Saccharomyces cerevisiae S288C: one gene and its partners. The gene in region 1 interacts genetically with each later gene. Each region holds a gene or a part of one and is shown on either strand. Other genes may lie near its edges.

Evidence for each region.
Region 2: mutations in ATH1 (region 1) and GFA1 together harm fitness more than expected from each alone (negative genetic interaction), as found in Saccharomyces cerevisiae (one large-scale study listed by BioGRID).
Region 3: mutations in ATH1 (region 1) and YHR140W together harm fitness more than expected from each alone (negative genetic interaction), as found in Saccharomyces cerevisiae (one large-scale study listed by BioGRID).

Annotation. Positions count from the first base shown.
Region 1 is NC_001148.4:612,866-619,874, reverse strand, and holds ATH1 (alpha,alpha-trehalase ATH1), read right to left. Parts: upstream 4,497-7,009; coding exon 861-4,496; downstream 1-860. Other genes in the region: TFIIH complex kinase subunit CCL1, read left to right, coding at 5,317-6,498.
Region 2 is NC_001143.9:241,726-247,001, forward strand, and holds GFA1 (glutamine--fructose-6-phosphate transaminase (isomerizing) GFA1), read right to left. Parts: upstream 3,649-5,276; coding exon 1,495-3,648; downstream 1-1,494. Other genes in the region: SEG2 (Seg2p), read right to left, coding at 1-858; YKL104W-A (uncharacterized protein), read left to right, coding at 3,307-3,561; metalloaminopeptidase APE1, read right to left, coding at 4,413-5,276. UniProt on the Saccharomyces cerevisiae protein: Involved in amino sugar synthesis (formation of chitin, supplies the amino sugars of asparagine-linked oligosaccharides of glycoproteins).
Region 3 is NC_001140.6:378,079-382,200, reverse strand, and holds YHR140W (uncharacterized protein), read right to left. Parts: upstream 1,630-4,122; coding exon 910-1,629; downstream 1-909. Other genes in the region: 60S ribosomal protein eL42 RPL42B, read left to right, coding at 1-211; YHR139C-A (uncharacterized protein), read left to right, coding at 1,782-2,093; SPS100 (Sps100p), read left to right, coding at 3,002-3,982.

The DNA of each region.
Region 1 (7,009 bases):
GGGGACGTCATTTAAAGCCAAAATACTTCTTAACACACAATTACTATAAACTATTCCTGTAGATTAGCCCACCCCACCTTGAGAAAACCTTCAGGATACCAAATGGCAGGACCCAACTAACACAAACTCATTTTCTTCAATTTATACAAAGTACGTTTTTCTTTCGTGAATAGTATATAGAGCTTTAAATATTTGCCTAGTAGGCTTCTGTATTTTCAGATTGGCGCTACATCAAGTTACCTCTAATGTATTGAATCTAGAATATAAAAATGTATGCAAACATTATCGTTGCAAATTTAATTTAAGTTGCGAGAAATTTAGGAATATTTCTGTTCAAACCCTACTGACGAGAGAAGAGCCAATATCAAATCTGGTGGTAATCCCGATGGAATCAGAATCGTCTAGTAGGAATTTGAAGTCTATTTTTTTAATATGGACTCATACAAAAAATTAGAAAAGGCGCCAATTAAAAATGTGCAATCAATGTAATGAAAGAACTGATCTCAATGGCAGGAAGATCAAATTGGTAGGTAGATCATGTCTATATAATGCATGTGAAAATTTTATAGAAAACTGTTGTGGGCTCTGGAAAACAGGCTGCTAAACAGTACTTAGTGGAATTAAAGTACGCTGGTGCAAAAGACCAATTTCAAGGTCACTACTATATAAGGTGCAAAAAAAGCTTGTAGTAAAAATTATTGCTCCTAAATGTCACCCTATAGAAAAAAAAAAGCTTTTATATAAGCATGCATGATATTTTCAATATAGTGCCTTTAAAATATATATCCTACGAAAAAATTGGTAACTTTTATCCAAACTTATAATATTAAAAAAAGCGCTACTTATATGCATCATTTCATTTAATCATTGAGAACAATTTCCTTGATTGTAGCTCCTTTGTTATCATCATCATAATCATCATACACTCCTTGTACTGCCACAACTATGTATCTTGTTTTCCTCCAATCTGTGTTCCCTTTATCACCCACCTGCAATTTATCATAATCAATAGTGAAAGTCGTTCTATTACTGGGTAATATCTCGATTAACGACTGGTTGCGACTTGCTTCGTAGTATGGCTCACTTGGGCTCACTGGCACGTTATCCAGAATTTTCACAAATTTTCTTTTTAGAAAGTTAAGTCTGGGTATTTGTTCAATTAGCTTGGCTAAGTCTTCCTTCTTCCAGTGCAATAAGGCTTGCACATCATCCAAAGATTCATCATCCTCTTGTTCTATGCCATCAAAATCAATAACGTTCTCGACAGGAATTCCGGCATTATCTAAAAGCTGACCAATGGTTTCATTAAGAAGTTGATCATTTCCCGAATTTTGCATAATTTCTGTCACGTTCGCAAATAAATTTTCGACTTTTTCAGAATGAGGCAAAATAGATATGGAAATGTTTTTTGCGGGCCTCTGCCCCCAAAGAATCATTCCCTTGGTAATCTCTTTCTCGTTGTATTCACCTAAATCAATCAATAGCTTCGCACGGTGAATTTTGTCTAAGGGTTGCCAATGCGTGTAATTATTCCCATCTAGAGCAGAGAATGCAACGTCACCAGGAACGCCGGCCGTCAAGTTTGTTATTTGCTTATTTTCCGCTATGTTGTTTCTTGCGTTTAAGCCAGGCTTGAACAGTTGGACTGTAAGCTCTTGTTTCGGTTTTAAAAGATAATAGGTACCATACCTATCCATCCTCATTGGATCACCAACACGGTCGACGTCTCTACGCTCTAGATTTGGTTTTCTTTCGTTTTCGGAACCATTATAGAAGTTGATATCCTGGTCATGTATTAGAGATCTGTTTGGTATCTTTATATGAATAGGAACATCTCCTGATTTATGAACAATCGTACCATTGTGGTCGTCAATTATTATATCTAAAACTTGGTTCATATATTTGAAGTTTCTAATAGCGATACCACCAGGGAGCAACGGTAGTTCTATTGGATTGAACCTTAACAAACGGTTAATTTTTTTAGTATCTGGATCAACCTCATAAGAATATCGGATTCCTGTTAACCCAAACAGAATGCTCTGTAGAAATCCACCGTTAGCTGTTAAAAAGGGGAATGCTGGCTGGGTTAATCCGTTTGTTAAAAAGTTGTCGTCTGATTGCTCACTAAATTGAGCGAAAGGAGCCCGTAAGTATGGAAGAACCGATTTATATAAGTAACTTTGAGAAGAAGAGCCGTGATTCAGCAGACCAGCAGCTGCGGCCACAAAAACCGGATATGTCATTGCAGGCCCAGACGCAGACTGTCTTTCTGAATAATAATAAAGATCTTTAATTGCATTGTTCAATATGGATTCATCATTGATATATCCAAGTGGGTAAACCATTAAAGTCACATCCGCCTGTTTAATCTCCACTGAGCTATTCATACCAGAATATTCCAAAGTGATGTTAGATGAGGATCTAGGGATATAAATATCTTTGGAAATTTCACTCCATTTGGGGTCAACGACCTCGCCGAGATGATTGCCAATGTCTGTTGCCCACTTTAGAAGTGTTTTAATGCCAGCATTCGTGAAAGCCCCGTTATTGATGTGATTAGCAAACTCGTCGGGATCTGTCAAATTATATGTTTCATACAATCCTAGGGAAGAATTGTACTTAACATAAGCAGTAAAAAATTGGGCTGCGTTTTTGATAATTGGCCATGTAGTATATCTCAGATACTCGTCATCAATCCCTTCGTGTCCATTCAAGTATATGGAAAAGGAGGCCATAGCGACATCAACGTTAATATGGTATTCGTAATCGACACAAGGTCCCGTAGAAGTACAATTAGCGTACTTACCAGATGTCCAGGGGTATATTGCTCCGGGGTATCCATATTTCTCTGCATTTAACTTTGCCTGCGAATGTGTAGCATTTCTGTAATTATTCATATTTTGAGCCACATTTGGGAAGAAAGGCAATAGGGCAGGTTCCATCCATATATCTGCGTCCCAGAACACCATACCACCATAGGAATCTGATGACAAACCAGAAACTCCCACGGGAAGACCCCTATCGCTCGAGACATTGTAATCTCTTGTATTTGCTAGTAAATGGAATAGGGACGATCTTGCTGTCATTTCTAAAAGACTGTCAGAAGGAATTTCAATGAAGGCGTCGTTGTAAAGGTCATACCACGCACGTTTGTGACTTGACAGAAGCTTCTCGTAATTGCCTTTACTGTTTAGAGCTATCATTTTGGCCAAACCAATATTAGTATTGTCTTGTTGTTCTTTGTTCTTATTGAACTCAGTAGACATAATACCAACATACTTATGAACGATTATCTTGGGTTGGTCCTCTGTCAAAATAACATTATAAATATTAGAAGAAACATCTTTTTCTTCAAAAGATTCACTAGAATTTATTGGATTGGTGGAATTTTCATACTTTACAGTACACGTTGAGTAAATAGCGCAATTAGAAGATGGAACGTTATCTGGCTGAACAATCATGAAAACCGCATTATTTTTTTCGTCTGTTCCCGTGCTATGTAGAACAGTCCTATGTGATGTGTTGAAATCAAGTATATCCCATATATTAACATCTAATGAATCAAAATCCGAAGGTAAATGGTCCGTATTCAGGGAAATTTCCAAAGAAACCACTCCCAGTGGATGAATGTGCCGATGTGCCCAGATTTCACTTTTAACATGTATTTGACTGTTTAGCCAATCTAACTCCGTAGTTACGATACCATCCTTCATTGATAAGTTTTGGCTATAATTAGTTACGTCATCCAACGTAACATTTTGTGGATTGAACCACTTAGAATCATTCACTAATGAGAACTGTAGATTGGTCCATTGTGGAATAGATGAAATGACAGTGGAATATCCTACATCATCCAATTCTGGGAAGTTTGTTGAATTTAGTTTTGGTTGTAGACAATAAAAGTCCGATACAAACGCACCGGCAAATCTATGATTTCTTAAGGGCCAACCGTTATTCAAAGCGCCTGGTGCGTCTGTGTAAAAATTCAGGGTGTCTAAGGCATAGCCGAACCCAATATTGGGAATACGACTACCTATATAACCGTTAGCAACATATGGTTGTCTCGAGTATGTATTCTTTGAGAACAAGTTACTTCCCAAAATCATGTTCTCATCATCATAATATGCCGTGTTGAAATCAGAAAGGAGTTCATAAAGTTTTTTAGAAGATTCCCTTGCTTCTGGATCGTAGTTCAACGTATGATTTCCCAATGACGGCGATATCACACCCAGAGGGTTAAATAGGGCAGCCCTCGAGGCATGTGAGTATGTAAGCCTGGAACTCTTTGTTAAATATAATGCAGTGACGAAGATAGCTAATAAAAATAGCATCATCAGTAAAAGTATAGAGTTGATCAAGTCAAACCTTGAGAAAGAACGATAATTTTTAGAGCGAGAGTTATTACCGGTACTATTTTTGTTCCTCAAACTAGGAGAATTGTTAAGGTTTGAATAAGAAGCCTCCGCATTGAACCAAAGCGATCTTATTCTTTTCATTATTGGAATGAGGAAATTTCGGTAAAAACAGATGCAATATTAGGTGATACTAGCAGGCTCTCATAAAGGACTGATGAATCCTTTTTTAAGGAGCAATAAGATTCTTTTTTTTTTTTTTTTTACTTGAAAAAAAGGGAGTGGTAATATGGTGAAAAGTGGAGAAATTTTGTTATTATTATTCAATAACGACAAGAATTCTCTTTCCGAATATAAAAACGGCGCGGCTGTTGGTTTGTCGTGATACGTAGTGCTTGCTTGGACTTGGAAGTAAGACTATACCAAAAAGGAAATAAATTTTGAGGGGCAAAGAAGAGATGCTTGTACTGCCTTGCTGACTCAGATTGTTCGTTGATTTTGCTCAACTTTCCGCTTGCTTAGAGTGAACGTGATAGCTTTACGGCTAGAATCAAGATGAATGTTCCTTTCTTTTTCCGAAGTATTTGCCCTTATTGAAAAAGAATGATAAGGGATATACGAATAGACTGGTAAATATTGTAGATACACTTGTTTTTAGTGAAGCGAGAATAACAAAGCTTCAGCTAGAGACGTGACGGCTGAGAGGTGACCTGAAAGAAAGTAGTTATTGCTGGCTTGAAGAGTGAAATAACCTTGGTACAGACTTTGATAGCACGAACTGTTTGCCATCCAGAGAAGAAAGGGCCTCTCATTTCCTGCGGTATCCCTTCGTTGTTTAAGCCGTTCACAATCCGGGTAATAAATTTGATCTTAACACAGTTTTTATATTAAGAAAGATCTCAAACAAATGAGTGAATATTAAGTTTAAGAGAGGAAAATACTGTGCTGCACAGATATTGATAGAATGACGGATATTCAACTAAATGGAAAGAGTACATTAGATACTCCTTCTGCTACCATGTCAGCAAAAGAAAAAGAGGCAAAATTAAAATCGGCTGATGAGAATAACAAGCCACCGAACTACAAAAGAATTTCTGACGATGATTTATATAGGCACTCTTCTCAGTATAGAATGTGGTCATACACTAAAGATCAACTTCAGGAGAAAAGGGTAGATACCAATGCCCGAGCGATTGCTTACATTGAGGAAAATTTATTAAAATTTAGAGAAGCACACAATTTAACAGAAGAAGAAATAAAAGTACTAGAAGCAAAGGCTATCCCTTTGACAATGGAAGAAGAACTCGATTTGGTGAATTTCTACGCAAAAAAAGTTCAGGTAATAGCACAGCATCTAAATTTGCCAACCGAAGTAGTGGCCACTGCGATATCCTTTTTTAGGCGTTTTTTCTTAGAAAATTCTGTTATGCAAATAGATCCTAAAAGTATTGTACATACTACTATCTTTCTAGCCTGCAAATCGGAGAACTATTTTATTAGCGTGGACTCGTTTGCTCAAAAGGCCAAATCTACTAGAGATAGTGTTCTCAAATTCGAGTTTAAGTTGTTAGAATCATTGAAATTTTCACTGTTGAACCATCATCCTTACAAACCGCTTCATGGGTTTTTCTTAGATATCCAGAACGTCCTTTATGGTAAGGTTGATTTAAATTACATGGGCCAAATATACGATAGGTGTAAGAAGAGAATAACTGCCGCATTATTAACCGATGTCGTATATTTCTACACTCCACCCCAAATAACACTAGCAACATTATTGATTGAGGATGAAGCCTTGGTCACAAGGTATTTAGAAACAAAATTTCCCAGCAGAGAAGGTAGCCAGGAATCAGTACCGGGAAACGAAAAAGAAGAACCACAAAATGATGCCAGTACAACTGAGAAAAACAAAGAGAAGTCCACAGAGAGCGAAGAATATTCGATAGACTCCGCGAAGTTACTAACCATAATACGCGAGTGTAAAAGTATTATTGAAGATTGTAAACCTCCGAGTACTGAAGAGGCCAAGAAAATTGCGGCAAAAAACTATTATTGTCAAAATCCATCAACACTGATTCAGAAATTAAAAAGGAAGTTGAATGGAGAAGATACTTCGTCCACCGTTGAGAAAAAGCAAAAAACATGAAACAGCTCTGTTACCGTAGGTTTCTGTTTTATATATATATATAGATTAAGATGCATAGGTATATAGACCGGCGCCATTTTATATTATTTCATGCCATGAATATATACTGCAAAAAATGTGACAATGAGTAAATTGCTAACTAGCGCTACAATGTGATTATTTTTGCTACACACGTTTATCCATTGAATATTCTATTTACAATGTATGGCGTATTGATACACATGTACCTATATATATCAACAAGTGCTTTTATCTTAACTTTTATGAAAGATTAATGATTGGTTTAATCATCAACGATACTCCGTTCCATGGTGTGACTTTTTTAAGGCTTGTCACTGGGGGAAAGCGACGGTTGGTTAAGGGATGAAAGAAATTAATAACCCACTTGCGATCATCGGTTATCCTGAAGTATTTTGTCGCAAATACCCAAGCTTAATGCCTCTTTTCTTATCACAGAAATAATATTATAATTTCTCCTTACGAATAATCTGAAGTTTCAAGCTGACCAGGA
Region 2 (5,276 bases), on another chromosome or scaffold:
AACGCTGGGTTCAATAAAAGAGTTTTCGTCATCGGATATAATCATGGGTTTAAATTCTAAAGGATCATGAAGATCCTCTTGCAGTTCTTGTTCCGTTTCCTCGTTCATAGTTGTTGGTATTAATGGAACATTGTTATGCCGTTGCTTTAATGATGTAGTATGCATTTTAGATAATACTTTGCCATGATAATCGTTTTTTGATTTACCGCCGCTTTCACTTTTTTTCTCTTGTGATCCTGCTTTCTTAGTAGTTTTATTCCTATGCATTAGACTAGTTTTGTTGTTTCGAGTAGGCAAAGAATATGCTCTACCACCTCGTTGGTTTGAGCGGTTGCTCAGACTGTATCTAGGAGGCTCTACTTCCACGGGTACTTCCACAGCCATTAACCCCCTAGGGCCTGGTATGTATTTTTTTATCGTCCTTATTGTGCTGCCTGAGTTCCCAAGTGATGTGGTCCTTGATTTACTATTCTGACCAGTCGAACTTGAAATGTTTAAAACCTTCGATGACTGCTTGCCTCCAAATTCTCGAAACGTGGTTTCTGCATCCTCGTGAGCCCTGTGTTGCCTTCTCCCCGCCGAATTATTAGAGGTATTCTTATGTCCTTGGTTTGGCAAACTCGACGTGCGCTTAGAGTATTGGCGAACGTTACCATTCATTAAGAGCATCCTTGAGTTAGTCCTAGAATTCGAGAGCATTGTATACCTATTAATCCCTGCGATTGACGTAGTTCGAGAGGTAAAACTCTGATTGTATTGCGGTATTTTACTCTTGTCAACGGTCCTCCCATTATAACTGAGCGCATTTCCAATTGCTGCTGCTGCTGCTAAGGCATCTGGACTACTTTCTTGGATCATCCCGCTATTTCCAATGCTCCCACTATTTGTTGATACTTGCCTCTTTCAGAGCTATCTGCCTTATGTTGATTATTAGGGTTAATAAATGCTATTTCCTCCCGCAATAATTGTGTAATTTGAACGAAGAATATGAAGAAGATGGAATGGCGATTTTCACTCTAAATTTTAAAAATTGCCTCTTTACAATAGCGAATTTCCTAACCCTTTTTTTTTTTTGTTGATTGCCTATTGCTCGTTCACTTCCCATTTATTTTCTCTCGAATTTCACCAAAAGTTGATGTGGATAATCAATCATCGGGCCTATTCCTGCGGGTAAAACGCAGGGCCCAACTCAGGATAGGGTTTAATATTATTTTAGAGGACTTACAAGAAGGAAGTTATATGGTTTAAAAATTGTAACAAAGTTAGAACACATTTATTTAGCAGGTCTAATTTAGGGCTGCAACTATCTTTTTGGTTATTCATATAAAATATAATTTTTTATTTATATAGAGAATACAAGTGGAATCATCTTTAACGCCAGCTTGTAGTGCGCATTGCAGAATAATGGAAGTTCAAAAATTAAAAGCGAAGGAGAAGTGATAGTAGAAAGACGGATGGGAGGCTGGGGGACGAAGAGAAAGTAAAAGGGTTAATTTATTCGACGGTAACAGATTTAGCCAAGTTTCTTGGAAAATCAACATCAATCCCTTTATTAACAGCCAACCAATATGACATTAGTTGTAATGGAATAATATTAATTAGACCTTGTAAACAATCAACAGTTTGTGGAACTTCTAAGGTTTGCAGGTCGATTGATTTAGATTTTTGCGCCCACACTTCATCATTTTCGTTACAAATAATAATTGGATGGCCCTTTCTTGCAGTAACTTGCTCAATAGAGGAAACTACTTTAGGGAATAGAGAGTCTCTGGTACCAAAAGCAATGATTGGCAAGTTTTCGTCCACCAAGGCCAAGACACCGTGCTTCAACTCACCTGCCAAAACACCTTCAGAATGCATATAAGAAATTTCTTTGATCTTCAAAGCACCTTCCAGAGCAGCAGCAAATTGGTAACCTCTACCCAATAACAATAGAGATTTTTGATCCTTTAATTCAGTCGCACAGAGCTTTTTTATTCTTGGTTCCAGCTTTAATACCTGCTTAATTTGGCCCGGGATTAACTTCAAGCCTTGAATGATTTCAATTCTTCTGTCTATTTTCGATACACGGTCATCTGACAGCGATAGAGCAAACATCACTAAGGCAATATACTGGGAAGTATAAGCTTTTGTAGAGGCAACACCAATTTCAGGACCAGCGTTAATATGAACACCACAGTGGGTGACACGAGAGATAGAAGAACCAACACTGTTAACAATTCCGACAGTTAAGGCTCCTCTTTCTAAACAATAATTTAGAGCCAGCATGGTATCCGCAGTTTCACCACTTTGTGAAACAAACACGCATACATCGTCTCTGAAGACAGGGCATTTTCTGTCCAGAAAGTCAGACGCTAATTCCACACTAACTGGGATATCTGATAATTCTTCGAAGATAGCACGAGTAGCCAAACATGAATGATAAGAAGTACCGCATGCGATCATGATCAGTCTCCGTGCTCTTCTGACAACTGGTAACCATGCCTTTAAACCACCCAATATCACTTTATTATTTTCATAGTCGATTCTACCTCTCATAGTATTGAAAGTAGATTCTGGTTGCTCATAGATTTCCTTTTGCATAAAATGGTCGTAAGGGCCCTTCATGATCTGAGCTAACTCCATCTCTAAAGTTTGAATGGACCTTGTCATTGATGCGCCTACTTCTCTTCTAGATCTATGAATATGTAACTCACCATCGTAAATATGAGCCAAATCGTCATCTTCTAAAAATAGCACCTTCTTGGTATGTTTAACAACAGATGCCGCATCCGAAGAAACAAAAAATTCCACCGGTGTTGGAGATCCATCTTCTGATAGGAAAGCCCTGGATTGAGAATGTCTCAAGTTAAATTCATTGGCGGCAATTGGTAGTAAATTGGCATTTTGGGAACCAGCTTCAAATTCACGAGCTTTCTTTGGGCCCAAGCCAAATGATTTGTTGTTAGATTTCAATGGAATTTCCGGTTGACCAGCGTTTTCTTCGGGAAATTCCACATCCACGAAGTCGACTTTTAGTTTTTTTTCAGATTTGACACCAATCAGTAAAGGGGACCCTTTTCTAGTGGCGATAACCTCATTAGGATAGTGACAAGATTTACATAATAACCCGTATGAACCTTCTAGTTCTAAAAGAACTAGCTTGGTTAATTCGTGGAAATCTAAGTCATGCCCATTTTGTAAATTTGTATTGTATAAATGCAAATATAGTTTAGCAATACACTCGGTATCGGTATCACTTTCGAATTTATAACCTTTGTTAATTAAAAGAGTCTTCAGTTCTCTAAAATTTGTGATGATACCATTATGAACGACCACAAATTGGTCTTCTGGGTCAGATCTTTGAGGGTGACAGTTAACTTGTTCTGGTCGACCGTGAGTAGCCCATCTAGTATGCGCAATACCACAATGAGAGACAAAAGTAACGTCTCTGTTCGGATTTTGCTTAGTAATCTCCTCTTTCAAAGCACTCACTTTACCGATTTGCTTATAGATGAAAGTAGAATCAGCTTCGTCACCATCGATAGCAATACCGGTGGAATCATAGCCTCTATATTCTAATCTTTGTAAACCATCCACTAAGGTGTCGATAATTTCTCCTCTGGATCTTTCCACTAGATAATTGCAGTAACCAAAGATACCACACATTTTTTTATAAAAGTTGCTGTTGATTTGCTCGAGAACTTATTGCTTATTTGGCCCTGATAACTATATAAGAAAAGAAATACAGTTATTCCTTGTTTATGCTGGCTTTTTGTCCACTTTTTCTCAACTATATAACTATGATGTTGGAAAGGACACCGGTTCTGTAACTTTGCAGTGAAAATAAGTGTGATGGATGACTGAGAATGCTTTCTTGTAAGCGAAAAGAAGTACGTGTTCCAAAAATAAAGCAGAAAGGCGAAAAGGGTCGAATGTAAGACACTAAATAAATATTTTAAGAAGAGGAAAAGTCGCCTCAGAAACGCTAAAATGCATCCGATTTCCCAAAGAGGAAGTCTAATGTTTTCGATTTGTGAAAAAAAGATAAAAATCGAAGAAAATGTAGGGAGCCGCGCGTTACCCGGATTGATATTTGAGTGATCGACGGCGTCACAAAAGAAAGAATGCTTGGCTAATCAAGAAAAGTATGTGGTTTGTTTCATCTAATACGGCTGTCAAGGCCCACATTGGTGTTCAAATGCATTTTTTATAGTTCGTGGTTACTGTTAATATTCTTTCCTAGTAGAATGTTTGGGGTTTAGGTATTTTTGATGTTTTATTTATAAATAGATATTTATATCTTGACGATTGTGGTGTTTTATTTTTTTTTTTTTATACATTTTTCTTTTCTTCCTGATTCGAAATAAAAGTATTTTTAGAAAAAGGATAAAGAAACAGAAATCAAAAGAAATAAAAAGAGTGTGGCAAAATCACAACTCGCCGAATTCATCGTAGACTGATCTCCAGTGCTTGAAAAATCCGTTGAAGAACTTAACACCTAATCCGACATCCTTGGACCCTGTAGCAGCTCTGATGCTGTGCATGGACAACTGTGCAATTCCCAGGTCTATGGTACGAGCACCTGTTTGAGAAGCCAATGATGGGCCGATAGTACCACCTGATCTTGAGTTGTTTTTGATTTGGAAATATTGCACTTTGTCTCCATTGCGGCGTGCTAATTCTTCTACTAGGGCAGTTCCTACGACATCTGTGGCCATATGACCGTTAGGATCCAGTGATAAAGTGATTCCGACATTAGGCACTGGAAAATGATTCTTCAAATAGACTTCAGGAAAGTTTGGGTTGTAGAGGTGGTTGACGTCTGCGGACAAGATGATGGAATTAGCCCAAACCGTATGCAAATCGACCGGTTTCTTAGTGAATGCAGAAGAACTGCGTTCCACCACTGACTCCAACAAGCCACCTTTTGCGCCTTGTCTTGTCAACGATCCGATTTCTTCATTATCATACAAAGTGACAGTAGAGAATAAATCTGATTCCTCGGTATTAACATCCTTAGCGTAGCAAATCAAAGCAATCATTGCTGCGAAACTACACAACCTGTCATCTAGACGTGGTGCAAAAAGGAAGTGTTTACCAATACCTCCAATGGTACCCTTTTGCACATCGAATAAGTCTAAATCCATTTGAATCAATTCGGACACTTCCACACCGGCTAATTTGGCAACGTACCTTAACAGGTGGATGCAGTGTTTGCCAAATAAGGGCGATTTCTTTTCATCATCCGTGGGAGGTTCATTACCTTCCTCATCCGGAGTGGGGAAGCCGATGAC
Region 3 (4,122 bases), on another chromosome or scaffold:
TCAAGGTAAGAGACGTTATGACCGTAAACAATCTGGTTTCGGTGGTCAAACCAAGCCTGTTTTCCACAAGAAAGCTAAGACTACCAAGAAGGTTGTTTTGAGATTGGAATGTGTCAAATGTAAGACTAGAGCCCAATTAACCTTGAAGAGATGTAAGCACTTCGAATTGGGTGGTGAAAAGAAGCAAAAGGGTCAAGCTTTGCAATTCTGAGAGTTGTTATTGTTTATTGTTTTATTATATTTTTATAGTTATACTTTGACCATTAACTTTTTGTAAATTTTGCATACTTAACTCTTTAATATTGAAAACCTGCCTATTTGGCGTAATTTTTCATCCTGCCTTTGAACCTGTTGTAAACGTTCGCGTTGGCAACCATGATAAGTTAACAAGACACGTAGGCGTTCGCACTAAAACACAGCATTGCTACTAAAGTACGTTACTAAGAACCAGTAAAAATAAATATGTATAAATAAAATGTAGATACAGCTGATTCCCAATATCTCATTTCAGAAATGATCAACACCAGGCGCCCAGCAACGTTCAATCTATCTACGCTTCAGTACTACTAAAAGTGGGAAAAACGTGGGCTTTTAGTCATTCCCTGCAATTTTAAGAAAACTGCATATACTAGTAGTACATTCGCGATATAATTATGATGTTGGCCTTTTTAAAACAAAAACCAAAAGGAATTTGATTATAACAAAACTAAAGAGGTGTGGAAAATTAATACAAACCTTCGACTTTTTATAGTGCGGTTCCTACACTTTTTTTTTTTCCCGCTTACCCTGGTGATTGATTTTTTGGGTTCCGTTGTAGGGCTAGCACGAAAATAAGAATTAAGTAGCAAAATTTGAGATTTGCTCACTTTACATACAAAGAGCTTAAATAGTAGTATACTAGTAGTAATGCTAATTCTTATCACCTTTCTTTGCCGACTTCTTGATGTATTTTGGCGGAAACTTTTGATAAAATACATAATAAGCCCACGTAATAGTAGCAACAACAACAAATATAATCGACTTGTACGGCTCGTTCACGTCTAGAAACGGGTATGGATAGGCTTGGCCTTGCCCCGCATCTATCAGGAATGCTAAATATTGAAAATATGAAAATGCTAAACTGGTTACAATGAGCCATGCATGCTTATTCGATAATTTGAATTTCGTGCCAGATCCCGATAAGTAGTGATCGGCTAGTAAATATAAAATAGGATATAAGTGGATTGCCATATCCACTGTCATAGGAAAAGGTGTCTTTGCAGTAGATTCAACTCCATGCATTATTAAGTTGACAAAAAACAATCTAAGCGGCCAATAAACGGTAGCAACAATAGATTCTAATACTAAAGAAACTGGCAAAGTGACATGTCTACTAATAAAGTCTGATTTTTTCTTGGTTTCTAGATTCATCTTATTGTTTCTTTGGATATAATAATTAGAAATGTTAACCGCGTTATTAATGATTGTTGCAATAATAGATATAATGGTTAGAAACTGTTTATGGCCTGCTTTACTTAAACTTGGAGGTAAGACTACAGATGTGGCCCTAACAAACCCCCAGGTGCTCGTCAAAAGACACGCGGTGTTAAGGGTCAAAGTAAAACGTGTTGGTACCAGACAAGACATCATGGATTCTCCTTGTATTATGGTTTTAAAATACGAGAAAAATTTGCTAAGAATACAGCAAGACTAGTGTAGAGATAATCACTGACATATAGAAAGTGACTTATATAATTCGAGAAAAAAGGGACTTATATACTTATCGGAGATCTTTTCATTAAATGCGAAGCGCAGACTTCTCTAATCCGCGGATCTTGTCAAATTTAATGAGCAAGTCTGAAAAGGAAAAGAGAGCGATCATTATTTTTAATTGTCGCTTAAACAAAGGATTATATGTCACTTCTGCATGCGTTTCACGCTCTGTTTTTAGATGCTGCAAACAGGAACCTCTTATAGAATTTGTATCCCCAAAAATGATAGCATTTGTTCAAATAGATGGACGCTATTTGACAAAAATGTTAACATGTGACATTCACGTCAGAAAAGAGGCCAAAGAAGGAAGAGGGTACCAGCAAATACATAAACTTTCCTAAGGAATAGGTTAAGTTCTTTTATTCTGCATGTGTGGATGCTTAAGGTCATTTTAACGAATGGGTCCATTAGCCCCGCGCCTTTTTCAGGTCAGCGAACGCTTATAATTCCAAGCCATCTCATGTTATCTCATTATTTTAATGTGAGCGAATATGCTTTTTTTTTTTCAATTGCTGCTATGAGATTATTGCTTCCATTACTAATGGTAGGGTTCAAGGAGGCTGAAAAACTGGATGGAAACGGAAATGAAAAATAAGGGGGAGGCGTAACGGTGGCAACGCTGCATAGTGAACAATTCATTACCTATTTATCATTTTTAGTTGGAATTTGGCCACCTTATGGCACATTTACCATTTGAGGGATCTGAAGATCAAGTCCGCCTTAAGGGTGCATATCATGCGTCATTTGTCTGCGTTAAGGTGCAGACGCTTCCCTTGAAAATCGCCGAAAGAAGCTAAGCCGAAGTGACACGGGCCTTTTCCTGCGTCAAAAGAAGCCGATGATCTACCAGAAAAAGATCATTCAACAGTTAAGGGCTACAGTAGTTCTCAGCGAATACCGGCTGATGTACAGAAGCGAATTCCTGTTGGGGAATCTCACTGTACCCTTCAAATATGTAATGTTAGAGTAGCAAAAGTTCTTGGCTTAGCAATTACATTTAACGCTGATGATCCTCGGTTTATGAGCAGAAAATAGGGAAAAACGTGTACAAATGATTCTCTCAGAATGTGCAACTAGCATCCCCTTTTAGAAATGCCTTGTTGAAAATTCCCCTAAGACGTTACTCATTAGAATACTATAAAAATTGGGAGGAAAGCTAAAAACACTTTTGGTTTCTCTTGTTCCTATCAATCATGCTCTAGTATTTGATTTCGATCAGTTTTCACATCTAAGAACCCAATCAGCTATTATGAAATTCACATCAGTGCTAGCATTTTTTCTTGCAACTTTAACAGCTTCTGCAACACCACTTTACAAGAGGCAGAACGTTACTTCTGGCGGCGGTACGGTCCCCGTGATCATCACGGGTGGACCTGCTGTATCTGGTAGCCAGTCAAACGTTACTACCACAACGCTATTCAACTCTACTTCCACCTTAAACATCACTCAACTTTACCAAATTGCTACTCAAGTTAATCAGACTTTACAAAGCGAATCGTCTTCCGGCATTATAATCGTCACAAACTGGCGTTCCATTGAAACTTTGAGTTTCTTCTGCTCAATCGTTTTTAATACATCAAAGACCATTGTCATTACTGAGAATTTCTTATGGGGTGTACCAATATTGAGTAGTTCGGACGCGGAAGGTAGAGGCACTTTGGTTGCCGGTAGAGATAAAGTTGTGTATTCTGGTGTTTTCCCTCCTTACACTGTTCCTGTGGGCGTTTTGTCTGGTCAGAAGAATGTTCAATGGTTCTTTGATGCCTGTGAGCCAACTCTGATTGCCAGCAACTCCACAATCAGAACTCAATACTCGAATTTTACGAGCGCACAAATATCTTCTAATGCCTCCTCCGGGACCAATACATCCTCATCATCCTCCAGTCCATTGGTTCCAATTATATACGAAGAAGGATATTCTCAAAGCTTAATTCAATCACTAAGTTCTAGTATCCAAGGTTTGGTTGTTGTCAGCTCTGGTACAAGTCACAACAGTACCGTGGCATCATGGACATCGGTCGACTTCCCTGTCGTTTATGCAAGTGATGGATCCAGTGGTCATGATGGTTCAGGAATTGGGTTCATAAGTAACACAAGTATTCCACAAGGTGCAATTTCTGCTGGGTACTTGTCACCAATCCAAGCGCAAACTTTGTTGTCTATTGCTATCCATAATCAAGTCACAAGTAGTAGCGAGTTACAACAAATCTTCCCTGTTAGTCAACAATAAGATGATTATGTGTTGTGTACTACGAAAATAAGCAAAAAATAAATAAAATAAAAACAAAAACAAAAACAAAAACAAAAACAAAAACAAAAACAAAAACACATATTGTTATGATGACTGGACGAAAGAAAGATCGTCGTTAC